Lonchura striata: one gene and its partner. The protein of the gene in region 2 binds, or shares a complex with, the protein of the main gene of each other region. Links are inferred from orthologs where the notes say so. Each region holds a gene or a part of one and is shown on either strand. Other genes may lie near its edges.

Region 1 (15,852 bases), on a different chromosome or scaffold from region 2:
CTTTCTCCCTCAAGGCCACCATTTCCCCGAGGGTCATCCTTCCTTTCTCAGGGCTCTTGTTGCCCTTTAAGGACTCTCATTCCTCCCTCACAGCCGCAATTTTCCCCTCAGGGTCATCCTTCCTCCCTTCAGGGCTGCCGCTGCCCTTTGAGGACCCTCATTCTTCCATCACAGCCGCCATTTCCCCCTCAGGGCTGCTGCTGCCCTTTGAGGACTCTCATTCCTCCCTCAGAACCGCCATTTCCCCCTCAGAGTCATCATTCCTCTCTCAGGGCTGCTGCTGCCCTCTGAGAACTCTCATTCCCTCCTCACAGCCGCCATTTCCCCCTCAGGGTTGTCCTTTCTCCCTCAAGGCCACCATTTCCCCGAGGGTCATCATTTCTCCTTCAGAGTCGCCACTTCCCCCTCATAACAAGCCCTTCTCCCCCCCAGAGCCGCCATTTCCCCCTCAGGGTTCTCCTTCACCCTTCAGGGCGGCCCATGGTGAACACAGCTGGAAACAGGAGCATTTTGAGCATTTCAGTAATTTCTATCCCCCACCTCTTCCTTCTGCAGACATTTCTGGCTGAGCAGGGCTCAGTCACCACCCTTCAGCCCTGCTCCACTTCCCTATTTTTTCCTCAGGGAATGGCTCAAAGCTGCCTGGACACACAGGGCTTACTTTTTTAAAAAAGGGCATTTTGGCTAAAACTGGGTCACCCAAGCTCACGTCAGACCCACAGCACCCAAACACCTTCCTGGTGACGCACTGGGTTCCACATCCAGCCCCTTGCTCCAGCGATTCCCTCACCCATCCCAGCAATACATCATTAACGCAATGCCATAATTAGCAGTGCCAAAAATAACAGCACCTTCAACCAGGCTATTTTTGCACCCGTTCATTATTTCTGCCTGCATCGAAGCATCCTATTTAGGAAGGTCTTACAAAGCATTATTTGTAAGTATTTTCAGCCTGAATTAATTTAAGCCTCACCTGACTGCATTTTTATCAGCAAAGACTTCACACACTCCTCACAATTCATTGTATTTCATATCCTCCTGCATTAACATGCAAAAATCCTCACTGGTGAATTGCTCAATACAACCCCCAGAAGTGTGTCATGGCTGATTGCTTTTTTTAAATGCTGCTTTCTTAGATAATTTGAAAAAGGTTAAAGGAGGAAAAGTAGGTTTTGTGAAGTGAGCTCAATAATCCCCTCCTGCAGGCAGGAGTGTCTGGAGACTCTTATCAGTGGGATTGGGCAGCAAGTTCTCAGGGCTCCTGAATGAGCCCATCACCAAATTTTGAGTTTATCCGTTTCAAAAAATGGGGAGAATAGGGCAGGATGAAGCAATCAACTCTTCTCTAACACGAAACAGAAGGGCAGGAGCAGCTGAGATCATCAAAAACTCACTGCTCTCACCCTGCAATCTCCTGCCAGAAACACATTCAGCTTGTCAGCCTCTCCCAACATTTTATTAATCCTCATTACCAAGCTGCCACATTTTTGGGATTTTACCTGCAACAAGACCTCATTTTCCACGAGGATCACACATCAATCTGCTTGGAGCAGTGTGTCCACCTCCGAGCACCAGAGTGATGGTTTTGCTCTGTGCTCTGAACTGGGCTGTGCACCAAATACTTTTGCCAAAAACATTCTGTTTCCCACAAAAAGTACCACAGAAATTTGGTTTTTTCCACATTTCAGTGTTTTATTCTGTCTTGATTGATTTGGTTCATGTAAAAATGATCAACACCACTGCTCTGTGCTCTTCATGTCTCCACTCCAGTGTCTGTCCTTCTGCCTTCTCTGACATGTCTCAGTGCTGAAACGAAATGGAGACAAGAGAATTGGAAGGTGGATAAAGATACAGGAAAGGAACGGGGTTACTGCACCACTTAAGAGCTCAGGGCTACAGAACAGGGACACAGCCAAAGGAAAAACAAAGAAAAACAAAAAAACCATGAAAGGGACATTACCTGGCTGGCAAACTTGCTGCAGCATCCCTGGAACGCAGCTCTGGTCGCTCAGGATCCGCTGGGCCTCCGAGGTGTGTGCCGGGTCCCTTCAGCCTGCTAAAGCAGAGAGGCATTAACAAAGGCCCAGGGCAGAGGCTGCTCTCGCCCCCAACCTCCCCACACAGCTCACAGCGCACGAGGGTCTCACAAGCCATCGCTGAACCCATCACACCACAAAGCACAGTCTGGGAAAACTGTTCCGGGCCGGCTGCTGCCCGTGCTCAGCCAGCCCATGGATTGGATCCCCTAAGCAGAGAGTTAACACTTGGACATGGCTGCTTAGGAAGTGTGGGCCATGGGAAAAAGTTAATGGCAACAAGTAGGATGGCAAAGAAAGCTACAATTAAAGTGAGCAACTTAATGAAGTCTAGAAGAGTCTCAATAGATGAACACATATCGAGTCAGGGAGTTCGTTCCAATCTTGCTTCCGTACCTACAGCAAGACACGGCTGCATGCCCAACTCTGATCTGTGGAACTCAAGGTGTGCCACAAGCCAAAGGTTGCATACGGCATGGGTTAAACGTTTTTCCAGTAGCTGACCAAAATTGTCAAAAGGAATATTTCACAGGTACATTAGACTTTCAAATGAGCTCTCAACAAGAGGAAGGATGCGGACATGAGCAAAAGGAGTTACCTCGAATTACAGGACTATTTCCACATATGAACTAGCCAAGAGAGCAGCTCTCGTCTCAGAGGTTTCTGTTGGAGGCACAACACTTCTTTTCTCCAAGGACACTGCAGTTTCCATTTGCTAGCAAAGAATTCTTAGAACTTGTAAGCAATGACACAGCTAAGCTAAGCCCGGCATTCCCCTACATCACACACGCGCTCGGCACGCAGGGAACAGCCCAGGGACTACAGCACTTGGCTCTTCTCTACAGCTTCCCAGTGTAGGCTACAGCAGCTTTGGAGCAAACATCCATTATCCTTCCTAACATTCCAACTTCACTTCGCTCCTAGCACACCCTCAGGTTTGTACTTCCAGCCTCTACAGACAAGTTTTGACTACTTTATGTGAAATTTCTTGGCCAATTCAGATGTCAAGACCGATTTTAGGATTTAAATTCCAGCGCCCGGGCAATCGTCCGGCCAGCTCTGCCACTGTCCCTAATCTCCTCCTCTCGCTCCCGTGACTGTTCTTCATCTCCAAGGGTTGTGTTGTGCAATGAAATGTAAATGTCAGGAGCAGAGTTCATTTCAGACGGTCCTTTAATAGGCTTCGTAAAGCCAAAGAAAACTGTATACAGGAATCCTTTACCACTTCAAATACAACAGCAATGGAATATGCATATTTCTTCCAGTAAAAAAGGACAATATAAATAAACATTTTCAAGAACCTCTTTATGGTAAGTTTGCAAGTCTAGTTCTGGGTCATTTACATCATTACAACAGTAAAAATACCGTTATGCGAGTGGAACATACAAGCACGTTTCTCTTTAGATATATCAAGGTGGTTTGCCTTCCAACGGAACCCAAGCTGCATTCCTACCTTGCTACACTAAAGGAATGTTACAAAAGACAAGGGTAATGCACTTAAAAAAAAAAAAAAAAAAAAAAGAGAATAAAAAGTCCACAGCTTGTTCAGCTTCCAGTGAACATTGGTACAAGATCCTTGCTAGCTCAAAAGAAACTGAATTGGGGCCCCAACTTAGAAAAAAAAAAAAACAACCAAAAACGAACACCTTGGCTCATTCATGGAGAATAAAATAAAATCTGAAGTGCTTTCAAAGAAGATTAAAACCACTTGAAAGCAGAGCTTTCTCTGAGACAGTCTAATCAGACAGTCTCGTTTCAGAAGCTGCCAGGCTGTGTATGACAAGATCAGAACTGATAATACTACAAAAGTGAAAATACAAGTAGATGTACTACACAATAACCATTTCAGCGAAGCTCCAAAAATCTTTATAAATACAGCCATTGGAAGGACGATCTTGAGTCAGGAAGGATTTTTACTCGTTGTGTGTAGCTGAGGACAAGAAGCAGGCACAATTGTAAAGGCACTGAAGCAAAGACAAGTTCCAGCATTTTACTCCCTTTGCAATATTCCGAGGCTACGGCTACTTGGCTACTGAGATCCCCCACCCGCGGGTCAGTGCGTTAGGGCAGCCGAGTTTGGGCTCCAGGAACACCTTATTTTTTTTTTTTTTTTAAACACTTGCTTTGCCTTAGATCCGAGCAACTCCTGCACATGCATTAAATTAGAATCTCCCGGCACCACCACGTCCACAGCCTGAGCCTGCCCCAGCTCCAGGCTCAGGCTCAGCAGGTTCAGAGCTCCTACAGCACACGGACTCAGCGCTCCCGCTCGAAGCAGGACTTACCGTAACTGTCGTAGCTGTCTCTGTAGGACCCTCCTGAGTTCCTGTCTCCATAGCCACCTTGACTCCTGCGGGACAAACAGCACCTCATTTACAGCTGCTCAACTCCTTCTCTGCTGGGTTGAATTCCACCACAGCTTGCCCACGAGCCCTGGTGCTGGCAGAGCCCTTACCTGCTGTTATAGTAGTCTCTGGAGCCGTTATAGCCTCCACTTCTGGAGTCGAATCTGCTGCCGCCATAGCCTCTGTCTCCACCTCCTTGGAAATACATGGAAACGCGGTTTTTTTAACCATTCTGACAAGACACATTCCCCCATCCAGACATTATGACTGACCCCCATGCACTCACCTCTGGAGAAGCCACGGCCCCGGCCTCGGCCCCCGCGGAAGAAGCCCCGGCCCCCCGAGGACCCCCCTCTGTAGCCACGGGATCTGTTCTCAGATGATTTCCCAGCCTGGTCGACTCGGATCTGACGCCCATCTACAGACTAAAACACAACCACAGTTAGCCAAACTGAAACATTTAAATAGCAAGCACATGTAGAAGGAGTCACATGCCTTCACAGTTGGCTGAGCAGTGCCAGGACTCGCTGCTCAAGAAATAACCATCTATTTCATGCCACAATTAAACCAAGTAGGCAAAAAACCTGATATATTAATTGCATTTACGGGAATACCTATAAAGTCGTATCTCAGTCATCCAGGTTCCATAATGGAACTTTATCAATTTGTATTCGTAGTATGTATATATATACATATAGGTTCTATGTATTAATCTATATAGCCAGATTTTTTACATCCATATCAGCTCATTTAAGACACTGGCATTTATCTGGTTTTCCACACAGCCTGAACAACAGCACACCTCTGAGTCTCCTCCATTATGGGAAATGAAGAATCAACTCCGAAACCTCCTCACCTTTCCATTCATGGCCATCATTGCATCTTTCGCATCATCGATATTTTCAAAAGTAACAAATCCAAAACCTCTGGATCTCTGAGTCTCTCTGTCTTTCACCACCACGACTATGAAAAGGACATAGAGGAAACAAAAACCCATCAGCACCAGGGAAATTTAACAGACTAAGGGAAACTATGTCATTGTGGCTCTGCAGTCTCACCTTCAGAAATCTGTCCGTATTTAGAGAAGACTTGCTCCAATGACTGCTCATTGGTGTCGAAACTCAGCCCGCCGACAAAGAGCTTTCCCTCATCTGATGCCATTCTGACCTGCCAAACCAACAGAACCGAGTCAGCAACTCAAAAAACCCACATAATCCCCGCCAGGCCACAAACATTAAATCCTTCTAACACTACCTATAACGCCACCGATGTAACCTCAAACTCCCGGACCACTTATGCGCCCCTGAGGCCACACCTTATGTGGTCTCCCAGCCTCAGAACGGGTCTCCCTCAGGGCGGGCGGGAGCGAGGGCCCAGCGGCAGGAGCATCACCGGGGCCGGGCCCCGGCGGAACCGGCGGCCGGGTCGGGTCCCGCCGAGCCCCGGTGGGACCCCCGCGGCCGGCCCCTCCGTGCCCAGCGCGCATGCGCGCCGCGCCGCGCCCCCTACCGGCCTCCCCGGCGCAGCGGCGCCCGCCGCCCCCTCCCTCCCGCCCGCCATTTTGCACGGCCGAGGCCCGTCGCCATTTTGTTTCCGCGCACGCCTTTCCCCCCGCCGCGGCCCCTTCCCCCTCGCGGCCCACACCGGCCCGCTCTGCCGCGCCCCCTGTGCCCGCAGAAGGCACCGATCGGCGGGTCGGGAGCTGCGGCCCAGCCTCCTGCGGGACCCCGAGCTCTGCCCCTAGGACACGGCTCCGCTCACCGCGGACCACCCCGCCCGGTGCGGTCGCGGACGCCCCGCGCGACTGCGCTCACCGATACCCGGGCGGCGCGAGGTTCCCACAACACTTCAAAGCTTCAGCGAAATGTACGGCGAGCCTGGCGGGGCGGCGCCTTATAAACGCCCGCGCCTCATCCCGCCTATCTTATGAATATGCAGATGAACCCCGCTGCAAGGAGGGGCTTCGCGTCACCAAAGCGCCGCCGCCGCTTCACCACCTGATTGGGCGGGATTTCATTAATATTAATGAACCGCGACGGGGGCGAAGCAAACAAAACCACGCCGTGGCCCCGCCCCTTCCACCCATGCGGGGGGGCGGGGGCGCGGCAGGCGGCGCCCATTGGCTGCGCGCGCGGAGGCGGGCGGGAGCGCCCCTGTGAGAGGGGAGGAAGTGGAGGGCGCTGATTGGCCGGGAGGGCGGGCCAGGCTGGCGGAGGGGGCGTGGCCAGGCTGGCCCAGTTTCGCGCCCTCTCGCACTGCGGCGGCGGCCGCAGACAAAGGGGCCGCCTCAGGGGCCGCCGCCATCTTGGGCGCCCGGCGCTGCCCCCGGCCGGGCTCCGGCGGCTCCTCCCGCCGCCGCCCCGTCGGTCACCGCCCCGCTGAGGGAGCCCGTTTTGTGCCCCAGAACCGTCCGCCTTCCTCTCTGTCCCGTGGGGGAATGATCCCTTCAGCTCCCTCTTTGCAGTGTTGCCCTAGATGATAGAAGTAGTCAAAGCAACAAAGTTTTCTTAAAAAAAAAAACAAACAAAAAAAACACAAAACTTTGCTCTCAACCTGTTTCCCCAAAAATTGAAAACTTTAAAAGCCCATCCTGAGGTCTGAGAAAAGTGAGAATGCCTTCAGCAGGAAAAACTTTGTATTGAAAGAGAAAATTGGCAAAGCCAAAGACGTGTCTTACCGAGAGGCGACACAGCTTTGAAAGTCCTCAAAATAAAAACGTTCGGTGTGCCATACATTACAATCTCACGTAGAAAAGTGTTAGGAAACATTGGAGAGGAAGAGACGCACGTGAAGAAATGGAGAGGGGGAGATGCAGGGGAGGGAAGAGCAGCGTGAGGAAACGGGAAGGAAACGCGGCGAGGACGGGGCTGTGCTGTCCCCGTGTGTGCCCCGCGCCCAAGGACAGCACTGGACACAGCAGGGTCACTGTGTGTGTGTCCCCTCTCCCAGGTACCGCCAGACACGTTTTTTCTGCTTCCACAAACTCCTTGTAATTCATGGTGCAGTTTGCAGCCGCAGTTTGCCGCTCCTTCCCTTTTCCCCTTCCCTTCCCTTCCCTTCCCTTCCCTCCCAGTATTTCCAGTCAGAGCCAGGCCGCACAGAAGAAAATCACTGGAGTACAAAAATCACAACTACTTGGTGACCGATTTCCAAACCACAGGGAAATGCAAAAAAACCTGCCTGTGATTGCTCTGTCGAGCACCGATCACCCATTCCCTGCGTCCCAGAACATGGAAATTAGGCTTTTCCTCTCTGATTTGTTGGGATCCCTTTGGGATCTGCAGGAAAAGGGCAGTTTGCACATAGGTAATACAGCAATTACAAAACCCAGGGGCACCACAGCAGCTGTGGATTTTTTGAGCTCACGGGGCCACAGGGACAGAATGCTGCCACCAAAGTGTTCAAAAGCACATAAAAGATCCCAATATTGATGACACACCTGGCCAATATTATTATTTTCATACGATGAAAAAATGTACTCACTTTCCTAGGCCTGGAGAAGGGAGCAGACGCATCTGCTGTTACTGCAAATTGATTTTTGCCCTTCAAGAGAGGAAAAGATCCCAGCCCTGCAATCACAGGCACAGCATTTTGATTAAATTAGAGACCCATTAACGTGAGCATTTCTGGTCTGTGATGAGGGTGGATAAAGTGACCTTGATGCAGAGAGCCATTTTCCAGCCTGAGATGCTGGACAGCCAACACTAACCCCGCTGCAAACCTTGAGGGACAAACACCGGGATTCACTGGGATTTGACTCCACACAAAACCAGGCAGGTCGGGTGTTGTGAAAATAGCAGTGAGAACCTTTGCTGCTTTGGGGGAATTTGAGTCCCAGCAGGATCAAGGGCTGCTGGCAGCAGAGGAGCTCCTGTGACAGGGAATGGCGAGCACAGCCCTGCTTGGTTGTGTCCCAAAAGTTTGATTTCTGTCTCCCTGGGGCGTGTTGATGCCTTTGCTTTGACAGTGAGAGTCACCAGTGACACAAGGAGAGAGCTGGGCCAAATAGACACGGTGTGCTCTGGCCCCAGTGCTGCTGCTGCAGGGAGGGTTCAGTGCTCCAGTGCCCTGACTCGGGGCATCAGACATGGCATCAGACATGGCATCAGCTGTGGATTTGACAATCCTCCTGGATATTCCATGATCAGGCTGCACACAGGGGCCGCAGCTGCCCCACGTCACCAGGGACATCACTGCACGTCCCACAGGCTGGGCTCTGGCTGGGAGCAGCGCTGGGAGCAGCCAGGCAGGCAGCTCACCCGGCAGATTGCACCAGCCATTGGGGCAGTTAATTAAGCACTGAAACAGCCCGGGATTCACATCCTTAGAGCAAACCTCCTGCAGCAGAAGGGCCCTGCCCAGGGGCCCCAAGCAGGCAACACCACGTAGGAGATGCAGAGTTCACTCCTGTGTGAGTTCCAGACCTGAGCACCCATGGCTGTTTTCCCTGGCTGAGCCCTAATTTTGGTCACCTGGATCTGGCTGTGAGAAGGGCTGTGGCCGTAGTGACCCCATTTGACAAAAGTGCCAGCACTTCCTTAGGAAGTGCAAATATCCGCTCTGAAGCAGAGCTGTTTGTGTGTACAGGTGCAGCCACGGGAAATTGTGAATCACCAGAGGCTGGAGGGACCTCAGGGATCACCTGGAGCTGATTCAAGCAATCCCCCCACACACGACTGATGTTTTTATCACCTATTTTTTAAACCTTCCGAGGGCAGAGGTTGTAGGACCGAACATCCTGTTAATGCAAATCTGATTTCCTAGAAGTTCTGCCTGTCCAGCAGCACAGCAGGGATAGCACCACACGGAAATGCCACGGGGGAACCGTGACAGGAGGAGCTGTGCTGCCCTCCCACCTTCACCCCGTGCCATTCCCACATCAGCATGAGCCTCTCTCACATCCCACGCTCCATCCACAGCACCGCGGGCTTTCTCTGGGGGTCCCCACCTTGCTGGGCTGTTTGTAGGGCTCTTTCCCAGTCCCTGGAGTTGCCCAGAGCCGTGCAGCAGCTGAGCCCAAACCTGCTTGGCAGCCCTGGCACCTTTTGGGGAGCCAAGGGCAGCCCCCGCCCCGGGCGCTGCTCTGATGAGGTTCCCAAATCCCGGAGCAGCTCCTCCGGTGCTGCCGCCGCGGGCCAGGGCTGGGAACAGGAGCGGTGGAAAGGGGAGGACGGGGCAGTGGTGCCACATCTCATCCTCTGGTGCTGCTGTGCTTTACCCGGGGCTGGGAGGGAACAAAGCCCTCCAGGCAGCCCCCTTCCCCCGCCCGCTCCGGGTTCTGGCACAGCGTTCCTCCTGCTCCTGAGCCTCGGCAAAGCCCCCGGGACCATCCTCCCTGCTCCAGGCACAGCGGTGGGGGAGCTCCGCACGCCCCAGCACATCCTGCAGGGCGCAGGAGCCGCCTCCTCTGCCTTTGTTTCTGCTGGGATTGCAGGAAAGGAGGGAATGTGAGGCCGGAATGAAGATCTCATCCCTGCGCCTCCACCCCAGCCAACACCAAGCCTCTGGTTCCTTCCTGGTTTTCCCTGCAAGATCATCTTATACCAGGAGCAGGGAGATGCCACAGGGGAAGCACAGAGTCTTCCCAGGCCTCAGGGACCCCAGCACAGGACCCCTCGGTGTCCCAGCACAGCACCCATCAGTGTCCCAGCACAGCACCCATCAATGTCCTCAGCACAGCACCCCTCGGTGTCCCAGCACAGCACCCATCAGTGTCCCCAGCTCAGCACCCATCAGTGTCCCAGCACAGGACCCCTCGGTGTCCCAGCACAGCACCCATCAGTGTCCCCAGGTCAGCACCCATCAGTGTCCCAGCACAGCACCCATCAGTGTCCCAGCTCAGCACCCATCAGTGTCCCAGCACAGCACCCATCAGTGTCCCAGCACAGCACCCATCGGTGTCCCAGCACAGCACCCATCGGTGTCCCCAGCACAGCACCCCTCAGTGTCCCAGCACAGCACCCATCAGTGTCCCAGCACAGCACCCATCAGTGTCCCCAGCACAGGACCCCTCGGTGTCCCAGCACAGCACCCATCAGTGTCCCAGCACAGCACCCATCGGTGTCCCAGCACAGCACCCATCAGTGTCCCAGCACAGCACCCATCAGTGTCCCAGCTCAGCACCCATCAGTGTCCCCAGCACAGCACCCCTCAGTGTCCCAGCACGGGACCCCTCGGTGTGCCTGGCATGGGAGCCCTCGCTGTTCCCACCGTGTCTGGCCCTTGGCAGCCTTGGAGCCGCAAGCAAACACCAAACCAGGGCTGGATTAGGGAACTGGCAGTCCCAAAACGCCCCAGGGAAAAGAATATTCCCTTCTCCCTTCCTCCTGGCCCCGAGGGAGCTGCTCATCCAGCTTTGCAGTTGGAAAGAAAAGCCCTGACGCAATCCCCGTTACCATGGCGAGGAGCGCGGCCGCTGCGCTTCCCGTGACCGGGATTTACCGGGCTGCAGGACAAAGCCACGGGGAGCGGGGCACGGCATCCGCCGGGATCAGATCCGCAGAGAACAGAAGGATGGGATCCACAGGGAGCGGGGGGATTGGATCCACAAAGAGCAGAATGATCGGATCCGCCGGGAGCAACGGGGATGGGATCCACAAGAAAAAGGTGCACGAGATCCGGGCTGGCACAAGGTGCCCTGAGGTGATGGGGGTCACAGCGGCGGGATATCCAAACTGCAGCGTTAGGAAATGAGCTGAGGTCCAGGTGGGATTCGGAATCGGAGATACTGGTGCACCCAGCTGGAGCCCAGGGGAATTGGGAGCTGGGAATGCCAGTGCACCCCGATTGAGGTCAGGGGGGATTCAGGGTTGGGAATGCCGGTGCACCCCGGCTGAGGTGAGGAAGATGGTGAAAAATAAGCATGTGGTAACCATGGAAACCATGTAACTGCCTTGGCACTGAGCAGCAGCTTTATCAGGGCTGGTGCTTCCCAGCTACACGATGGAAAACCAAATCTTGTGTGTCAGACCATCCCTACCTGCCCAAACACAGCCAAATTTAGAAACCACTGCACCCAGCATCTCCAGCAGCAGCCTCATCACCCCTCACGGGTCACACTAAGGTGTTACTGTGGGATTTTTGCCCATTTCCTCCAGCACTCCCAGCTCGCCAGCACAACATTCCACTCACCGTGATACATGAATGCTTTTCCAGCATAAACCCTTCACCTCCCAGCTCTGCCACGCCAGAGAGCCCGACCGTGCCAAGGGCAACGTGGTTCAGGGCAGCACCACCAGCCGCTTGCTCCCAAAGGATGCAGCACTGCCTGGGGAAACCCAGATGGGGGCTGCCCAAGCTGCTTCCCCGTGGGTGGCCTCTCCCCCACATCTGCCAGGGTCCCCCTGCACAGAACGCAGCTTCCCTGGTGTGGGAAAGCAGCAGCAGCAGCGACGTGTGGTTTATTGCTCCCACCTTCCCTCCTGTCGCCCTCCTGTCTGCATTAAGGACTCGGTTCAGTTATATAAGCGCTCATTAATCATCACCTAAGAGCATTTGCAGCGCTGAGTTCTTAAGGGCAGGAGATGCTGCCCAAGGACAGGACAAACAGCCTCTGACCGCCTGACACCAGGCGACCTTGCAGGACAGAGGGGTGGGAAGGGTTTATCACAGTCCGCAGGGGAAAAGCCGCCAAGACTTGGGAACATCGTATCCCTCCCCAGCAAGAGGTAAAGTACACGCCGAGGGGGGCCAGCTCAGGTGTTGAGGGAAACTGGAACTCTTCCAGACCCCTCAGGCATGTCTCACACTGCACTTTGCTGCCGTGATTCGCGGTAGGACCGGAGGTGTCACACCCCCTACAATCCCATGCAGGGTGGCACAAGGGTCTCAGGGCTCCCCAGGACCGCGATGTCCTCCCAGGCCCCCCGTGTTCCCCCTCTGCTCCTCAGCGGCTCGCTGCGTGCTGCTGCTTCCCTGCAAGGGCAGTGAATCACCTTGATCGCACAGCATCCGTCCCCTAGTATTTTTTTTTTTTTTTTTTGAGTCATTTCATTGCCCATCAGCACGAGGGGTGGCCCGGCGGAGTGAGCCGGCATCTGCGGGAACAGCCGCGACTGCAGAAATCCCTGAACTGCAGCATCAACATTTTTTTCCTGCCCAGAAGGTTCCCGCGCCCTCGCATGAGCTCATCCTGCACCGTCCCCTTTCCGCGCCTCCCGTAACCCAACCTCTCCCGGCCCCGCAGAGCAGCAGCGAGCCACGACAGCCGAGCGGATTTTTGGCTGCCTGGGTCGCTCTCTCCCCGCGCTGCCTCTCGGGAAGCTCCAAGTCATGCGACTCCTTCTCTCTCTTTTTTTTTTTTTTTTTTTTTTTTTAATTCCCCTCAATGTGGGGAAACGAGTCGGGAAAGTTCCCCCGCTCTCTCCCCATCGCGCTGATCCGAACGGAGGCAGGTAGAGGCAGCGTCTCTGCCTCCAGCAGCACCACGCCTGCCCTGGGAGCCGGGCGTTCCACAGGGAAAAGCCGGATCCTGGCACTGCTCGGGCTGGTGCCACCCAGCACAGCTGCCCCGAGACAGGGCAGCGACTCCTGGAGCTTTCTGGGGGAGCTTGGCAATGCTGCCACAGCAGCAAAGACCCCCCGGCACCCACCGGCATGAGCTGAAGGGGAGTGGGGGCTGAGCTCCCCGCTGCCACATTCCCGGGGTGGCAGTGCCACGTAGACTCGCCCCGCCGGAAATCCTCCTCCCAACAATCCCCAAAAACGCTGGAAGCGGCTCCGAGCTGCCCCGGAAAGCGGAGCTCCCCCGGCATCGCTGCCGTGCCGGGAGCTGGACGTGACCCGCTTCCCAAAGCAGCGGGATGGAGGATGGGAGGGAGCTGCAAGATCCATGCCCCGAGAGCAGCGGGAGCCACCAAGAACTGACACCAGGCTGAGCCCCTGCCCCGTGGAAGCCCAAAAAAAAGTTTCATTCCATCCTGGCTGCTGCATGACCCCATCCCAGCTGGGGCTGGGCACAGCGTGGAGAGGGATTTCAGCTTTAAGAGCATCTCGGAGCATCTCATCCCCTGCTGTCTCACACTGGCCGTGCCTCACCCCAGCCCGGCGGGTCCTGCTGTGGGCTGAGCGAGCTGCCACTGTTCAGCACCCTGGGGTTCCCTGCCCTGGCGGCGTCCCAGGGGTGCCGGGGTGCTGAGCGCTGCCGTGGCCGTGGCAGCAGAGGGCAGCCACGCTACGTGCACCGATCCTGCCCCCCCCGGCACCGCGCCGCCCACGCGTGTGCCACGGCCGCGCTGCGCTCGCCCCGTGTCACCCCGTGCCCTGCCCGTGTCCCCCCAGCTCCTGGCTGCAAACGGGGCTGATCCTGGCGCCCGGCACCCCACAATCCCACCGCAGAGCCCCACACGCGTGTGAGACCCCAGCCAGGGCGTGAGGATGCTGGCCAGACCCGGCACTGTGCGGGAAGGGTCAGAGCTGGTGGCACTGTGAGGTCCCCCTGTCCCAAGTGACAGTCTGTGACAGGGTGAATCCCACGCTGCCAGTGCCTCAGTTTCCCTCCCGACACTGCTGCAGGAAGAACCAAACGGTGCCAAGGGCTCCGTCTACCAGTGCTGCCCCAGAGTGGGGTCCCCGAGCCCCCAAACCCTGCACGTGCAGAGCACACATCAGTGTGCACGCGTGCACACCCACACGCGTGCATCCACGCACCTGGGCAGTCACACGTGTGCAATCTGACACGAGGATCCAGCCGACCCTCCTCTCACCCGCACCCCGCCGTGGGCCTGGGCCCCTCGGCAGCCATGCAGCCATGCAGCCGCTGCGCCCCATTGCAGCGTTGCCGTGGCAACGCTCCAGATTTATCAATGGAGACACCGCGGAAGCGCTCTGGGGGAGGTGGGAGGGATGGGAGTTCTGTGGGGGCTGGCGGGGGACGCAGACGGACAGACGGATGGCTGGGGGGGCTGGCGAGCAGGACAGGCTGGCACTCACGCTTGCAGAGCGATGCACACGCTCGTGTGGGGGTGCACTGTGCACACGCACGTGTGTAAGGGGAGCTGCAAATGAGGGTGGCTGAGTACTCTGGCTCTTCCCTGCACGCCTTCCCCAAGGTTTTCCCAGTGCCTTGGCAAAGCCTTGGGGCTGGCGGGGAGCTCTGTGCCCCCCGTCTGAGGTGAGGCAGCCATTCCCTGCCTGATCTCCCGTCCTTGTGGCTGCTGGCAGCAGCGAGGGACAGAGCCAGCAGCTCTCAGCTCCAAAGGAGGCTAGGGCCGATCCAGGAGGGGAGAACCCTGATCCCAGGGAAGTGGCCAACACGTACCAGGGTTGTCAGGGTTATGGGGTTCCCCCTTCCTGGGGAAGTGCTGCTGGTTTCACACATGGGCCGTGACTCAGGCACCCGACTCTATTCCTGCTCTGTCCCTGACTCAGCGTGTGGCTCCAGGCAGGACACGCTCTTGCCAGCCCCACACACCCGCCACGGGGAAGAGGAAGCAGCTCAGGGACTCCCAGAACGACGTTCCCAGACAGTGTGGGGTCCTCACCCTGTCCCCACCCAACGAGGCAGGAGCACCCAGGGACCCTGCACTGAGCCCCAGCCCTGCAGCCTTCAGCCTCACAGGCTCTCCCTCCTGTATGAGACACCCAGATGCCGTGGGGATGGGCACAGCTGCCCCACACAGCAAGGACCTTCCCTGCAGCTCTTCCAGGAAGGGCTGGAGAGGAGGAGATGAGGATGGGATGGCAGGTTCACACCAGCTCAGCACTTTCACAGCTCTCGCCAGCCCCGTCACACCCGGCTCATCACATGCCTGCTCACACCCACCCCCTGCGCCCGCCCCGGGCACCTGGCCAAACCCACAGCAGAAAGAGTGGAAAAAAAATCCAGTCAGCGACTGACCCTTTTGCAGCCTCAACACAAAACGTTCCTGACGTTCTGAGTGCATGCACGCACAAGGTCCCAGATCACACGGTGCTGCTGCTGGTGGCACAGCACCACCGAGAATTTGGGACACGATGGACACTGTGCTGGGGCACAGCATTGCTCACAGCCACACGCTGGCTCTGCCCTGGCTGCAGCAGGCCCTGGGGGAAGCACTTTTCATCTGAGAACAGACAGAACTGGCTCAGTGATGGCAACTCCAGGTCAGGGCTGCAGGATCAGGACAAGCCAGAGCTGGGCACTCAGCTGCCACTCCAGAGCTCACTCTCAGCCCAGTGGGCACATGGCCGAGCTGCAGGATGCCCGGGCAGGTTGGCCATGCCATGAGCTGGGCAGTTGCCTACGGTTGGGTTTTACAGCTGCCGGCCCAGCCCAGGTGAGCTTGGACCTTGGAAATCCCCAGGTGCCTGCCTCGCCCTGGCCACTGCAGCTCTTGCAGCGAGGGCAAAAGGCAGGTGTTTGGAGATCCCCGGAATCAGCAGTATCCATCAGCCCCTGCCCTGCTTTTGGGACCCACGGGTGTGTCCTGCTGGCTGTCCCGTGCACCCGTGTGTGTGACACAGCACACAGCAGCAGCTCCGTGCCTGCTCCC
Region 2 (14,820 bases):
CCTGCACCACAGCCGCCTGGCACAGCCCGGGGAACAATCCCCAGGCCAGAGGCAGGAACAGGCACTCACTTCTCCACCAGTGTCTGCACACAGCCCTTCCACGAAGCCATCTGCAGGGCAAGGTCAGCTATTGCCAAAGCGAGCTGGAAGGGAATGGAGAACAGGGATCAGTGTGGGGAGTTCCGGCGTGTGCCCGGGAAATAGGGCTGGCAGGCAGCTCTGGAATCCACCCCAACATCCCTGCCAGCAGGTAACTCGGGAATCGCTCCCAACGTGGCCCACAGGCAGGGAGCTCTGGGATCCATCTCCCCATCCCTGTCTGTGCATGATCCCCGCGGTGAACTGTGGAACACCGGCTGCCCCGGGGGCTGACACTCCCTGCCACAACATTCAGGGGCTGCAGGAGCACCCTGGCTCAGCCTGGGGGTGTCAGGCCCCCCAGTGCCATGGGAACATATGAATAATGGGAATGAAGCATGCAGAGAAATCCCCTGAACACCCAGGGCACTGCTAGGTTTGGTCTCCACGGCAGAGAACAGGGGCAACCCCTGCTGCTCCTCTCCAAACAGCAAACGAGGATGAAGTAATGGGTGTAACTAAAGGAACCAAGTGATGAAGGAGGGAAAATAATCTAGTGCCAGGCTGGGAGCAGAGATTAGCCTTCCCCATTTTCCAGCCCAGGGAGAGCAGTCCCAGAGTGGCTGCCAGGAGCAGAACACAGAGGGAGCAGCTCCATCCCTCCTCTGCCATCACCAACCTGTGTGACAATGACTGGGGACAGGTCCTTCAAGTTCTGGATGTGGGACAGCAAAGAGTCCCGGAGTGAGGCGTGGGAATCCGTGGGGAGTTCATAGAATGAAGTTTGGATCTTCATCTTCATGGTCTGCGCCGCAAAGTAGCAGGACTCCACATCCTGGTGGATCTGCAGCAGCTGGTCCGAGATCTCCCAAGCATGGACCTGTGGGAAAGCCACGGCGTGGTCAGTGGCCAGGGCAGGGGGGTCAGGGTGCTGCAGACAGTCCAAATTCCCCAATGGAAACACAGCCCTGTCCTGCCAGAGCAAGTCCAGAGAGATGCACACAGCTGCTCCAGGGCTGGAGCCCCTCAGATCCCAGGGATCCAGGCTGGGAGAACTGGGGGTGCTCACCTGGAGAGGAGAAGGATCCAGGGAGAGCTCAGAGCCCTGGCAGGGCCTGAAGGGGCTCCAGGAGAGCTGCAGAGGGACTGGGAACAAGGGTGGAGGGACAGGACCCAGGGAATGGCTCCCACTGCCAGAGGGCAGCCATGGATGGGAGATTGGGAATGAGGAATTCCTGGCTGGGCTGGGATTGCCAGAGCACCTGGGGCTGCCCCTGGATCCCTGGCAGTGCCCAGGGCCAGGCTGGACACTGGAGCAGCCTGGGACAGTGGGAGGTGTCCCTGCCATGGCAGGGGTGGCACTGGAGGGGCTCTGGGCTCCCTGACCACCCAACCCATTCCATGACTCCCTGAACACCCCTGGCTGCAGAGCCCACACCGTGCTGCCATCCCAGGCTGGCACTGGGACACCGAGGAGCTGCAGGGACAGAGCAGCTCTGTAACACGGGCAGAGACCCCACAGCCCCGTCGGGAGAGCAGAGCCCACGGGGTTCCAACACCCCACCCTGCAGGAAAGGGCAGCAGAGGCTTCTCTGGGCTAAGCAGAGTCTCACACAGAAACAAACACAGAGAGAGCCCAGCAGGGCACAGGTGGCAGAGGGGCTTGGATAACCCCAGACTACAACCACAATATGGAATCCAGCACTGAGGACACCAGGCCCACACCGGGACTCCAGAGCAGAACATGGATGTGCCTGAGCGCTGGAGGAGAGCCAGGCAGGAGCCTGCCCAGCCACGGGGCAGCTCCAGCCCGTGCCAGCCTGGTCTGAACCCAAAGGCTCAGTCCTGAGTGTGGGATCGGGGCACTGGTGAGCCAGGGAAACACCCAACAGACTCCAGAGCCCCCTGGCTGGGCTGGGGCATGGGAACACATTCACTGAATCCCAGAGTCACCGAATCCCAGAGTCACTGAGGGTGGGAAAGACCTTTAAGACCATCGAGACCAACCTGTGCCCTTGTCCCCACCCTGTCCCCAGCCCACAGCACTGAGTCTAGTCCTTCCCTGGACACCTCCAGGGACGGGAACTCCAAACCTCCCTGGCCAGCATGGTTAAAAATCCCAAATCCAGCTGATGTGGAAACCTGGGAACAAAACTTGAATCAATTCCATGAGCTTCACAGCTCTTGTCTCTGACAGCCTTTGGGTCACAGGACTTCCCTGAGCTCAATCCAGAGCGAAATAAAACCTCTGCATCCCTAAAACCCAGCTCTGGTCCTCATTCCAGCCTCACTAATGAAGGCAATTCCATCACAACCCTTGGCCAGTCACTCCAACAGCCAAACAGCTCTCTGCTACAAACCACCACCTGCCTAGCCTCGCTTCCAGCTGCGTTCCAGCCTGGAAGACAAAATAATCCCCATTCCAAATCCCCCCCCAGGCAGGACAGCCTGCTCAGAGGCTCCACCCCACCAGTGCTCCAGACCCAAATCCTGAGCCAGGGCTCTCCAGCATCACAGAGGGGAACAAGAAGGCAACACCAGGCAGGATCAGTATGATCCAGGCTGATTCCCAGGAAAACCCAGTCTCTTGCACATGGAAAAGGAAAATGTTATAGCTGGCAATAGCACAAGGCCTAGTTCCTGATCCCACTCCCGGAATTTCTGCTAGGAGCTCTTTCCACAGCCACTGGAGCCTGGAACGCAGCTGGAGCCAACCACAGAACTCAAAGGGCCCAGACAAGCTGGGAGGCTGGGACCCCAGCACCCCACGTGCTCCCCTCTCCCTTCCTCCTTTCCACAGAACCCTCAGAGCTGGAAACCCCTGCAGCCCACGCAGTCCCAGAGCTCCCAGCGCTGCCGAGGCCACCGCTGCCCCATGTCCCCCTGTCCCCAGGAGCCACATCCCCACGGCTCCTCAGTGCCTCCAGGTTCAGCCCCCACGGCCGTGGATCCATCCCTGCCACAGCCAGGCGGGAGCTCCCCACAGGACACGGCAGGTTCTCCCCACGGAGTGCCAGTCCATCGCCACGGCTGAGCACAGCCTGGCCAAGGAGAGCCCTGCCAGAGCCTTCAGACAAGCTCCTCTGCGTTTCCAGGCTCTGCTCCTCCTTTCCTTTCCTTTCCCTGCCTCCATGACAGCTGCTGTTCCATGGTCAGCATCTCCTGGTGTAAAACTCACCTGGAACGACTCTAACAGGGAGTGAGAAACACCTGGAGCCACTGCTGTCATAAACACCCCCCGGATTTATTTATCCTCACAGGGAACTCCCACGCTGGGAACAGACAAGAAGTAGAACTCAACACCTACAACAGCCAGAATCCCACCAAACCCTCTCACTAAACTCCTTCTCCCCTCAATTAACAAAGGTAATTCCAGGTTTAGATGGACATGGTGGCAGACACAGGAGATCTCCCAAGCCCACCAACCCCAGGGACATGGATAATCCGTCTGGGAGCCCAACTCAGCAAAGAGCACAATTATTAATGGGCTGTGAGCACCAAAGAAGCTGTTTCCATGCCTGAAACTCTTCATGGCACATTCAGGAATTCTACAAAGCCAGAGGATTTCCTTCCCAGAAAGCAGTTCCTGAACTCCCACGAAAGCCCAAACCAACCTCAATGCACACCAAAGCTCCAACACTCAGGTCACAGCCGTGGATCCACATGGAACATTCTCCCAGGGCTCTGCTCCAGACACCAGGGATGCAGAGAAACGCCAGCCATGAAGCTGGGAAAGCTGGGACAAGGCCAATCCCACACTGGGAACAGCTCCTCTGCCTGAGGAAACCCCAGCTAGTCTGCAATCAGCCTTCACACAGCTCCCAGCCCACGGCTGCCTGAAGGATCTGCAGATTCTGGGATTTAGGTCAACTTGCACCTTCAGCTGAGCTCCCCGGTGCTCTGCAGGCTCGGAGCTGCTCTGCCACGTCCGGCCCCATTTCCCAGGAATAACCAGCAGCAAAGGCCAGAACGAGGCAGCTGGGGGAGCTGAGGGACACACCTGAGCCCCCAGGGCCCTCCAGAGCCAAACCTGAACCCACGTCCTGCCAGAGATACCAGGGATGGGAACTGCAGGGATCTCCCTTAGGTTTGGGGGTGCCCAGTGCCAAACCTGAACCCCCACAGAGTGATCCAGGCACCCAAACTCCACTGCAGGTTTTGCCTTCTCATCCCTACGATGGGATGTATCCCACAGATACAATTTCAGACGGCTTCAACCCACACAGTGACACCACACCACCTCAGAAGGCTCCAAGCACGTGCCCTTGTTGTTCTTCACCCCCTTTTATCCCCCCATGTTCATGCAGTGCACCTGTGTGCCCTCTGCTCCCTGTGAGGCTGCTCAGCACCCCTGGGCACTGCCTGGCTCAGAGTTGGCAGTGCTGCTCAGCACCCCTGGCACTGTGTGGCTCAGAGCTGGCAGTGCTGCTCAGCACCCCGGGCACTGCCCGGCTCAGAGCTGGCAGTGCTGCTCACCTGCTCCTCACAGCTGTGCCCACAGGGCTGGGGCAGCGCCGCTCCCAGCCACCCAAACTGCACCCACAGCCACAGATCTGCAGGTTCCCAGATCTCCCTGTTCCTGGGATCTCCCTGTCCCTGATTCCAGTCACCCAAACTGCACCCACAGCCACAGATCTGCAGGTTCCCAGATCTCCCTGACCCTGGGATCTCCCTGTCCCTGATCCCAGTCACCCAAACTGCACCTGCAGCCAAGGATCTCGCTGTTCCAAATAGGATCTCCCTGCTCCCAGGATTTCCCTGTCCCCACTCCCAGTCAGCCAAACTGCCCCTACAAGTGCCCAAGGCCAGGCTGGACACTGGGGCTGGAGCAGCCTGGGGCAGTGGGAGGTGTCCCTGCCGTGGCAGGGGTGGCACTGGAGGGGCTCTGGGGTCCCTTCCCACCCAGCCATCCCAGGATTCTGTGATTACAACCCCAGAAAGGCAAAAGCCAGTGGGAACCCTACCCTGAGAGCTCGTCCCAGCAGAGGCAAACGTGACACAGCCCAGCAGGGCATGGACAGCCCAGGGGTGCCAGCAAACAGCCCGTGACGGGTGGCACTGCAGGGACACGGCTGGGCACAGAACGGGATCCAAGCAAACACTCCTTGGGGGGTTAATGCCAGTGCCTCCATCCAGACCAGGGCACGGGGACACTGAGGGACAAAGAGCTGCACCCAGCCAGGGCCACCAGGGCCACAGTGACTCCTGTCCCACCAGGGTCACCGTGACCCCAAGCCGGGCAGGGTCCCCTGGAGCATCCCACGCTGCCAGCCCACACCAGGGAGCTCCAGTTGTGCAGGGCTGGGGGAACTCAGCAGCTCCGAGCAGAGGGAGGCGCTGGATGGAGCCAGGCTGGGCCTGAACACCCCAGGAATAAGTGGGGTTCCTTCTGGGAGCAGCTCAGAGCTCAGAGAGAAGCAGGGGGAATGACCCAGCAGAAGGGGAGAGGCAGGACTGCTGCTGCCCTGGGGCTGAGCTGAGTCAGTAACAACGTTGTTATTGCTGTTTTTATTATTATTATTATTATTATTATTATTATTATTATTGCTGTTATTACTGCTAATGTTCTATCAGAAAGAGCCCAGGGAAAAGCCCGAGGAACTGCAGCAGAGACCCCCCCAGATTCCCAGATACTGGGGAATACAGATCAGCCCCCAAAACCCAAACTCTGCAGGGGATGGGGAGCCTGACCTGGAACACCTCTTTACCCAACAGCAATCCTGGGGCCCGGGACAGGACCCAGCCCTGAAATGTGAATGCCCCTCCTCCAGCTGCCTCGAGATCTTGCTTCTGCCCCGGGGAAATGGGGGGAGCAGCAGCAGAGCCCCCAGACCCAGCCGTGGACAGTCCCTTGGGAACTCTGATGGGAGCTGCAGCACTGCAGGAATTCGGGGGGAAATGGGAAAACACGAGTTTGTGGGAACAAAGAGTGGCGAGCCTGGCCAGGGAGCGGGAAGGGGCTGGAGCTGGAAGGGAACCGGGCAGAGCTGGGTCAGCCAGAGCAGGCAGGGCCAGGACACAGCTCCTCCCCGGCCCCAGGGCAGGGATCCTGGCCCTGGGGAAAGGGGGAGCACAGCGGGAACTGCCCAGCTCCGGGCGGGGAAGCACCACCCCTGAGGCAGGGGGACAGAGCAGCCCCAGCAGGAGAACACCGACCAACACCCCAAACCCGGGGTGTGTCCTGAGGGCTCGGCTCCATCCCCTCACGGATCTGACCCGGCCGGCAGAAGAAGCCCAAATTTCCCTCCGGGAGCCAATTCCTCCTTCCCAGCTGCCTCAGCACTGTGCCAAACGTTCCAGCCCCTTGTTCCTGGTGCTAATCACGGAACCGGCGAACAGTTTGGGTGGGAAGGGAGCCCAGAGCCCCTCCAGTGCCACCCCTGCCATGGCAGGGACACCTCCCACTGCCCCAGGCTGCTCCAGCCCCAGTGTCCAGCCTGGCCTTGGGCACTGCCAGGGATCCAGGGGCAGCCCCAGCTGCTCTGGCAATCCCAGCCCAGCCAGGAATTCCTCATTCCCAATCTCCCATCCATGGCTGCCCTCTGGCAGTGGGAGCCATTCCCTGGGTCCTGTCCCTGCAGGCCTTGTCCCGGTCCCTCTGCAGAGCGCTCTCAGGAATGGGGTAGCCGCAGAGCAGCGGGAAGCGGCGGCGGCGGGGCAGAGGCTCCCCGAGGCCGCCAAGGGGCCGCCGTTCCCTGCCCCGCCCCACCCGGATGGGGCCCGAGGCCTCCCCGCGAGCCGGGCCCGGTACCCGCCGCCCGCGGCTCTCACCGAGCGCTGCAGCTCGCCCAGCCAGCAGCTCGCCCGCTCCTTGCCGCTGGGGTCGGGGTCGTGGTAGAGCGCCTGCACGGCCTGCTGGACGAGCTGCAGGCTGGGCCGGCCCGGCCCGCGCTCCATGGCCGGTCCCTCAGCGCCGCCCGCCCGCCGCCATCGCCGCTCCGCGCCGGGCCGGCCCCCGGAAACGCGCCCCTGCGCCTTCCGTTCCGCGTCCTTCCGTTCCGCCGCCCGCCCTCGCCGCTGCCCGCTACGCCCCGTTCCGCCTCTTCCACCTCATCGCATCGCATCGCATCCCATCCCAACCCGTCCCGTCCCGTTCCGTTCCATTCCATCGCGTCCCGTCCTATTCCATTCCATCCCGCCACGGTTTGTCCCACCCCCGCCCCCCCCGCGCCCTGCCCAACGCGAGCTTCCGGCGGTGCAGCGGGCAAATGTGTCCGGGCGCACCCGGCGCGGCGGGAAGGGTCCGTGCCCCACCCCCCCAAAAAAACCGGGGCGTGGGGCCCGGCACCCCCCGGCACCCCCGACACCCCCCGACACCCCCCGGCACCCCCCGGCACCTCCGGGCTGTCCCCAGGGCTCCAGAGACCCCCAGTGTGAAAAATGCGTATTTTATGATTGGCTTTTCGCAAATGCTACAACGAATATGGTATGTGTCATGTCAGAAAGTGATGCTGTATTCGGTGTGTTAAATACAGTTTCAGGTTCCAGCACGATGTTAAAATAGAAACTCTGCTATGTGAAGGGGTTTTTTAAGGAATGAGATACTCGCTTCAAGGAATACCTAAATCTTCCAGAGAAGAGAAATTTACGGTTTTCTTATCAGAGGAAGCTAATTTCTTCAGGCATTACTCAGACTCGAACACACCATGGGGAGTAAAGGAAACACTTGACATACAACAGACAGAGTTCTTGTTTTAAATAGAATATATGCATAACCATGAAGGACATATGAATATGTAACAGGTTATTGCTTTTAAGGTTATTCCTTTGTTCACAAGTCATGCTTTTTGTGACTTAGTGTCCGAGAGCATCCAGATGTCTGTAATTCTTTGCTTTTTATTGTCTTGTAATTGTCCTAACTCTAAACTTTATTACTCTAATTGTATTACTATTTTTATAACCATTTTATTATTATTAAACTTTTAAAATTTTAAAAAACCAAGTGATTGGTGTTTTTCACAGGAAAGATACCTCCTTGGAGAAAAGTGGAAAAAACCTGTTTATTAAACAAGCAAACCTAAACAATATTAAACAATAAAACTTCTTGCCACTCCAAGAGAGAGACAAGCTCAGAAACCCCCCGGGCTGCAGCTGGGCTCACTCAGTCTCTGATCCGGCCCTGCAGAGCTGGAAATGCCACGGCCCAGGCCCGGAGCTGCTGCTGCTCTGCTGGTGTTCAGTCCAGAGAAAGGGAAAACAGCCCAGTCCAGGGAACTGCTTTGCTCAGCTAGCTAAAGCTAGCTAGGAAAGCAAAGGAGAGCTCTGTCTCGCTGTCTGTCTGTCTGCAGACACTCAGTCCAGGAGCAGGAATGTGGAGGAGGGAGTGCAGCTCTTGAAAACAAACTGCGCTCCTTCCCCCCCCCTTCACTCCTGGAACGAGCCTTAAAGGTGCAAAGCTTTTTGTTGCACACAAACAGGGCAGAACGGGGAGAAAGGCACCAGGCAGGCAGCCCGGGGCAGCCGTGCCAGGATCGGGGGGCAGGGGGACCCTCGCTGGGTCTGTGTGCAGGGCGCTGCCCGTGCTCCACAGGGCGCCGCGTTCCAGAGCTGTGGCAGGCAGGGCTGCTCCTGTCCTGCGTGCCCCAGCTGCTCCACAGCCCAGCGGGCTCCTCACAGTGCCCCAGGGATCTCCCCCCGGGCCAGGCGCCACTCGCTTTGGACAAAGGCCGTGTAAATTAATTTTTGGGAAGACTGCGGTGCACCGCCATGGACGATGGCAAATCCTTGTGGCTGGGCCGTCGAGGATCTAGTCCTGACAGTGGTAGCTCTAGTCCCCTTCCCCCCTTTCTCTCCGTCCTTTATTTCCCTTTTCTGTCCCCTCCGTGGCATTTGCTGTTCTGGCCCCCCGTAAAGGTGCACTTGTGGTGGTTAACCCGCTGTTCCCCTGCCGTTTGCCTTTTGCACTTTGGGATCGGCTGAGGAGCCACCGCGGCGCGAGCGGGTGGGACGGGGCCTCGGGCGGGACAGGGGGACATCGGCCCGACCTGCACAGGGACAAACGTCCCCAAAATCCTCCCCCACAGTGCCAGCCCCACGCGGGGCCAGGCGCCGTGGGCACAGCCGGGGGGGACACCCGCGTGTGCCAGGCACCTTCTTCTGTCTCAGCATTTCTACAGAGACGCACAGAGGGAAGAAAGAGAAAACCATTTCTGTTTCTGCTCCTTGTTTTCCCATGTGGAATGTGCTTGGAGAATTGTTTCCCTGGGGTGAGTGCTTGGTGAGGATTGTTTGAGCCTGATGGCCAATCCAACCCACCTGGGGCTGGACTCAGAGAGGGGCACGAGTTGTAAGTTAGTTAAATATAGCAGTTAAAAAAAGTAAGTAGTTTTAGTGTCTCCTTTAAATGGTATATTAATGTATTATAGTATAGTTATACTAAAGAAATCATTCAGACTTCTGAACATAATAATTTCTTCCTACCAGGGTCACCTGCATTTACAATAGACATGAGCAGCTACTGAGGGGGGCTCTGCCAGCCCCCACATCTGGGGAGAAAACTCCATCTGCAGCTGTGATGGGATTTTGGGATTGGGGGGGTTTCCTGGGGCCTTGATCCCACCTTGTTCCTCATCTCAATCCATGGGATTTTGGGATGGGGGGGTTTCCTGGGGCCTTGATCCCACCTTGTTCCTCATCTCAATCCATGGGATTTTGGGATGGGGGGGTTTCCTGGGGCCTTGATCCCACCTTGTTCCTCATCTCAATCCATGGGATTTTGGGATGGGGGGGTTTCCTGGGGCCTTGATCCCACCTTGTTCCTCATCTCAGCTCCTGGTTAGGTGATGCCGGCAGTCAGACCCGATGTGTCGGCAGGCAGGGGCACTGGATTGAGATGGATTTTGGGGGAAAACTCCTTTAATTTCCTTTCCCCCATAGTCACTGTTGAGTAATGATGAGGTGGCTCCTGAGGCCAGCGGTGCTCGCTGTGCCCCGCCCGGGCCAGCCCCTGCGTCCCCTCGTGGTGGTGCCCGTGGCAGGTGTGTGGGACAAGCTCCTCTCCTGGTCTTTTCCAGCCCAGCCCGGCCTGAGCTCCATGATTCGTGGTCAGTCCCTCTACAGCTGCAGTGTCACTGCTGGGTCACACACCTGCACACACACCCTCACCTCATTTTCACACCCGCACTCCCCCTCGGTGGCCCCCGTGTCACTTCCCCCTCCCCCCAGCTCATCCTCTTTGTCCCCAAAGCGGATTACGGCGGTGGCTCAGCGGGGACACGCGAGTGTGCAAGGAGGGGCCGCATCCCGACCAGCCTCACACCGGCCACAGGTGTGCGTGGAGGCGGTCACACCCCTGCCAGGTGTGCACAGGGGTGTGACACCCCTGCCAGGTGTGCACAGGGATGTGACACCCCTGCCAGGTGTGCAGGGAGGGTCACACTCCCTCCCTGGGCCCACACCTGTGCAGGCAGCATGGGCAGGCCGTGCACAGCCCAGCAGGGCAGGTACAGTGTGCAGGGGATGCCCTGGGTGTGCAGGGGACAGCCCAGGTGTGCAGGGATGGCCCAGGTGTGCAGGGGATGCCCTGGGTGTGCAGGGATGGCCCAGGTGTGCAGGGATGGCCCAGGTGTGCAGGGGATGCCCTGGGTGTGCAGGGATGGCCCAGGTGTGCAGAGGATGGACCAGGTGTGCAGGGGATGCCCTGGGTGTGCAGGGATGGCCCAGGTGTGCAGAGGATGGACCAGGTGTGCAGGGGATGCCCTGGGTGTGCAGGGATGGCCCAGGTGTGCAGAGGATGGACCAGGTGTGCAGGGGATGCCCTGGGTGTGCAGGGGACAGCCCAGGTGTGCAGGGGATGCCCAGGTGTGCAGGGATGTCCCAGGTGTGCAGGGGTGGCCCAGGTGTGCAGAGGATGTCCCAGGTGTGCAGGGATGGCCCAGGTGTGCAGGGATGGCCCAGGTGTGCAGGGATGGCCCAGGTGTGCAGGGGACAGCCCAGGTGTGCAGGGACAGCCCAGGTGTGCAGGGAATGCCCTGGGTGTGCAGGGACGGCCCAGGTGTGCAGGCAGGGCCCGGGCACAGCCCTTGGCAGGTGGCAGAGGAGGTGCAGGCAGGTGACCGGGGATGCTCCCGGGCACCACAGACAGGTGACATCTCCTGAAGTGCAGGCAGGGACTGGGGCACGCAGGTGATCCTCGGGCATGGCCCATGGGGCTCGGAGATGCCCAGGCAGGTGCCAGCAGGTGATACCCAGGTGTTGGAGCCCTGGTTACTGGGAATTTTAAAGAGGATGTGGGATTTGACCTGAGGCCCAAAAAAGAAACAAAGACTCCACATCCAGGAGGTGCAGGCAGGGCAGGTGGTGACAGTGGCACCCAGGAGGTGCAGGAGGGTAGGTGATGCTCAGGTGATATAGGTGATGTCCAGGTGGTGCAGGTGATGCCCAGGCGGTGCCAGGCCGGGCAGGTGGTGCAGGTGATGCCCAGGTGATACAGATGATGCTCAGGTAATGCAGGTGGTGCCCAAGTGATACAGATGATGCTCAGGTGATGCAGGTGATGCCCAGGTGATACAGGTGATGCTCAGGTGATGCAGGTGATGCCCAGGTGGTGCAGGTGATGCCCAGGCGATGCCAGGCCGGGCAGGTGGTGCAGGTGATGCCCAGGTGATACAGATGATGCTCAGGTAATGCAGGTGATGCCCAGGCGGTGCCAGGCCGGGCAGGTGGTGCAGGTGATGCCCAGGTGATGCAGGTGATGCTCAGGTAATGCAGGTGATGCCCAGGCGGTGCCAGGCCGGGCAGGTGGTGCAGGTGATGCCCAGGTGGTGCAGGTGATGCCCGGCTAATGCAGGTGATGCCCAGGCGGTGCCAGGCCGGGCAGCACTCCGATCCGGCCGCAGGTCCCGGGTCAGCCCCGCCCCCGGCCCGGCCCGGCCCCGCCCGGTCCCGCCCCCGCCCCCCCGTCCCGCCGGGCCGGGGCAGCAGCGCCGGGGGCGGCGGCGCCGGGCAGGTACGGGGGGGCGGGGGGAGCGGACTGTGGGGGGCCGCGATCTCCGGGAGGGGTCCCGGGGTGGGAGGGGGTCCCGGACACGGGGGGCCCGGACACGGGGGTGACACGCGGGCGGGGTGGCACCCGCGGAGCGCAGGGTGGGAACGGGAGCCCCCCGACTCCCGCCGTGCCCCCAGCAGGGAGCGGGTCTGGGGGACAGCACGGGGACCCCGCACCGCGGGATGGCGGGGGTGGCAGACGGGAGCGCCCCCCCTTCCCCCGCCCTAATTACCTGCCGCTAATTGGGGGGGGGGGGGGCGCCATATGGCTGCCACGGCCGCGCGGGGAACGCCGAGGGTCCCCCGGCAGACCCCAGGGCAGGGCCAGCACAGCGCGGGGCCTGGGGGGCGACACGAGTGGCATTGGTCAGGGGGCACGGAGGGGGGACACGGCTGTGAGACCCCCTGGTGGGGACAGGGACACCCTGGGGACGTGCACCGAGGACAGCGGCGGCACCCCGGGGTCCTGGGGAAGGGGACCCGGGCATGGCGGCCCGGGTGGGTGACACGGGCAGAGACAGCCAAGCGCGAGAGTCCCGGGGGAAGGGAGCCGGGGCGGTGCCAGCGCTGCCACCGGGGCTGTCCGGCGGGGGGGACACTGCGGAGGGCGCTGGGGACGGGGGCGCGGGGCCGGGGGTGGCAGCCCCGCTCCTCCCGCCGCCCCGCAGGCGCCCCCCAGGTCCCCGTGTCCCCATGGCGGCCGCGTCCTGCCCGGCGCTCCTGGCCGCCTGCCTGGCGCTGCACCTGGCCACAGGTGAGCACCTGGGGCGCCGGGCCGACAGGGGACACCTGAGCGGGACACCGGGGCTGGGAGGGACCCGGTGGGCGTCTGGTGGGGACCCTGGGAGTAGCAACCGTGAGAGGTGGGACCCCAGGGCACAGGGACACAGAGGGGACCCAAAGATGTCACCCGAGCGCAGGACCACTGGGGTTGATAGCCCGCTGGTGTCCTGGGGACGGAGACCAGGGGGTGGGGACACGGGGGTGGGGACCAGGGGGTGGGGACACGGGGGGACACACGGGCGACCGTGCTGGGGGTCCAGGGAGTGGGATTTGGGTGGTGGGGACACGGGGGGACTGAGGGGGGAGGTGGCGACGCGGATGGAGCTGTTGGGCTGGGGATATGGGGACCCTGGCGCGGGGACACGAGGGACCCTGGGAGGGTCAGCAGGGAACGGGGGGAGAGGACCTGGAGAGGGACCCAGGGCGTGGGGACACGGGGACCCCGAGGCTGGGGACCCGCGGGGCCACCCCCCCACGGACACCCGTGTGCCCATCCCCGGCGCGGCAACGGCAGCCCGGGGCGACGGCTGCAGCGGCTTCGGGAACCTGTTCACGGAGATCGCGGAGAACAGCGCCCACGGGAGCCTGGTGGCGCGGCTGCCCCCGCCGGGGGACGCGGGGGGCGGCGCCGGCCTCCAGCTCTGCCTGGTGGGCGCCGACGCCGCCTGGTTCTACCTGGACGGGCGCAGCGTCCGGCTCAACGTGTCGGCAGGGCGGGCGCTGGACCGTGAGGTGACACCGCCGGGACACCCCCGGTCCCCTGCCCTGCTCCAGCCATCCTGTGTCCGTCGAGTGTCCGTCCCGCATCCATCCTGAATCCACCCCCTCCACCCCGTGTCCATCCCCACCCACCCGGTGTCCATCTACCTCCACCATCCATCCCTCCCTCCCACAGCCGTGTCCATCCCACACCCACCTGTGTGCATCCTGTGTCCATCCCTCAGCCACCTGTGTCCATCCCACACCCACCTGTGTCCATCCTGTGTCCATCCCTCAGCCACCTGTGTCCATCCCACACCCACCTGTGTCCATCCTGTGTCCATCCCTCAGCCACCTGTGCCCGTCCTTTGTCTCTCATCCATACTCCATCTATCCTGGGTCTACCATCATCTGTCTATGTTCCATTCATCCTTCCTCTTCTGCCCATCCCGTGTCCATCCTGTGTCCATCCCGCGTCCATCCATTCATGCTCCCTCCGTGCTGTGTCCATCCATCCTGCAGCCCCTCTCTCTCCAGGTCATCCTGCCCCACGCTCATCCAGCTGGGCCCCTCCTGCCCCAGCTTGGCGGGGGACCCCGTGGGGCAGCCCCCCACGTCACCCGTGTCCCAGTGTCCCTTGTCCCCGCAGGAGCTGGAGTCCCCGGTGCTGATGGTGGCCCTGACGTGTGCCGAGGACGGCTCCTCCCCGGTACGGCCACGCACGGTGGGGACCCGGAGCTCTGGGGGCGCCCGGTCCCACCCTGGTCACCGCCTGTGTCCGTCCCCCACGCCCCCGGCAGGTCGAGTTCCGGATCATCGTCCAGGTGCTCAACGAGAACGACAACCGGCCCCACTTCCAGGGGGCCACTGTCCTCACCCACAACGTCAGCGAGGTGACAGTGGCACCGCCGGGGACAGGGGCGGTGACGCGTCCTGCACTTGGTCATGGTGGTGGGGCAGGGATGGGCCCCGCACAGGGAAGGCTGTGTGCACGGGCTGGGGACAGGCACGGGGACAGGGACAGTCGGGCCATGGGCACAAGGACAGTTTGTGCCAGGGAGGGTGCCCAGAAGGGATGGGGACACCCAAAAGTGGGAACGGGGATACCGGGTGTGGTCGTGAGTGCTGAGGGACCCCCGGTGACCCCCGCGAGGCAGCTCAGGGCTGTTTGGGGGTGCAGGGTGTGTCCGGGATTCCCGGGTGCGTTCGGGGGCCACAGGGGCTGTTGGGGGCGTGGGGGGCCCCGGGGTGTCCGGGACCGCTGCTGACCCCCGC

What was found.
Region 1: the proteins of TNPO3 (region 2) and CIRBP are in contact, whole or in part, in a crystal structure (PDB 8CMK), measured with the Homo sapiens proteins. The link is inferred for Lonchura striata from reciprocal best matches to the Homo sapiens genes TNPO3 and CIRBP. Residues at the interface, in NP_036602.1 of Homo sapiens: Arg620, Glu660, Arg661, Cys663, Arg664, Arg667, Phe668, Arg671, Ser698, Cys699, Tyr702, Ser705, Ile706, Asp709, Glu710, Asp747, Asp750, Asp751, Arg754, Arg758; in NP_001271.1 of Homo sapiens: Tyr160, Arg161, Ser163, Tyr164, Asp165, Ser166, Tyr167, Ala168.

What each region holds. Positions count from the first base shown.
Region 1 is NC_134630.1:6,364,467-6,380,318, forward strand, and holds CIRBP (cold-inducible RNA-binding protein), read right to left. Parts: upstream 6,345-15,852; 5' UTR 6,202-6,344; exon of another isoform or gene 6,196-6,201; intron 5,549-6,195; 5' UTR 5,543-5,548; coding exon 5,440-5,542; intron 5,345-5,439; coding exon 5,238-5,344; intron 4,807-5,237; coding exon 4,668-4,806; intron 4,577-4,667; coding exon 4,492-4,576; intron 4,387-4,491; coding exon 4,293-4,386; 3' UTR 3,967-4,292; coding exon of another isoform or gene 3,950-3,966; 3' UTR 3,192-3,949; downstream 1-3,191. UniProt on the Homo sapiens protein: Cold-inducible mRNA binding protein that plays a protective role in the genotoxic stress response by stabilizing transcripts of genes involved in cell survival. Acts as a translational activator.
Region 2 is NC_134607.1:73,047,472-73,062,291, reverse strand, and holds the start of TNPO3 (transportin-3), read right to left. Parts: upstream 7,021-14,820; 5' UTR 6,976-7,020; coding exon 6,850-6,975; intron 959-6,849; coding exon 758-958; intron 144-757; coding exon 70-143; intron 1-69. UniProt on the Homo sapiens protein: Importin, which transports target proteins into the nucleus. Specifically mediates the nuclear import of splicing factor serine/arginine (SR) proteins, such as RBM4, SFRS1 and SFRS2, by recognizing phosphorylated SR domains.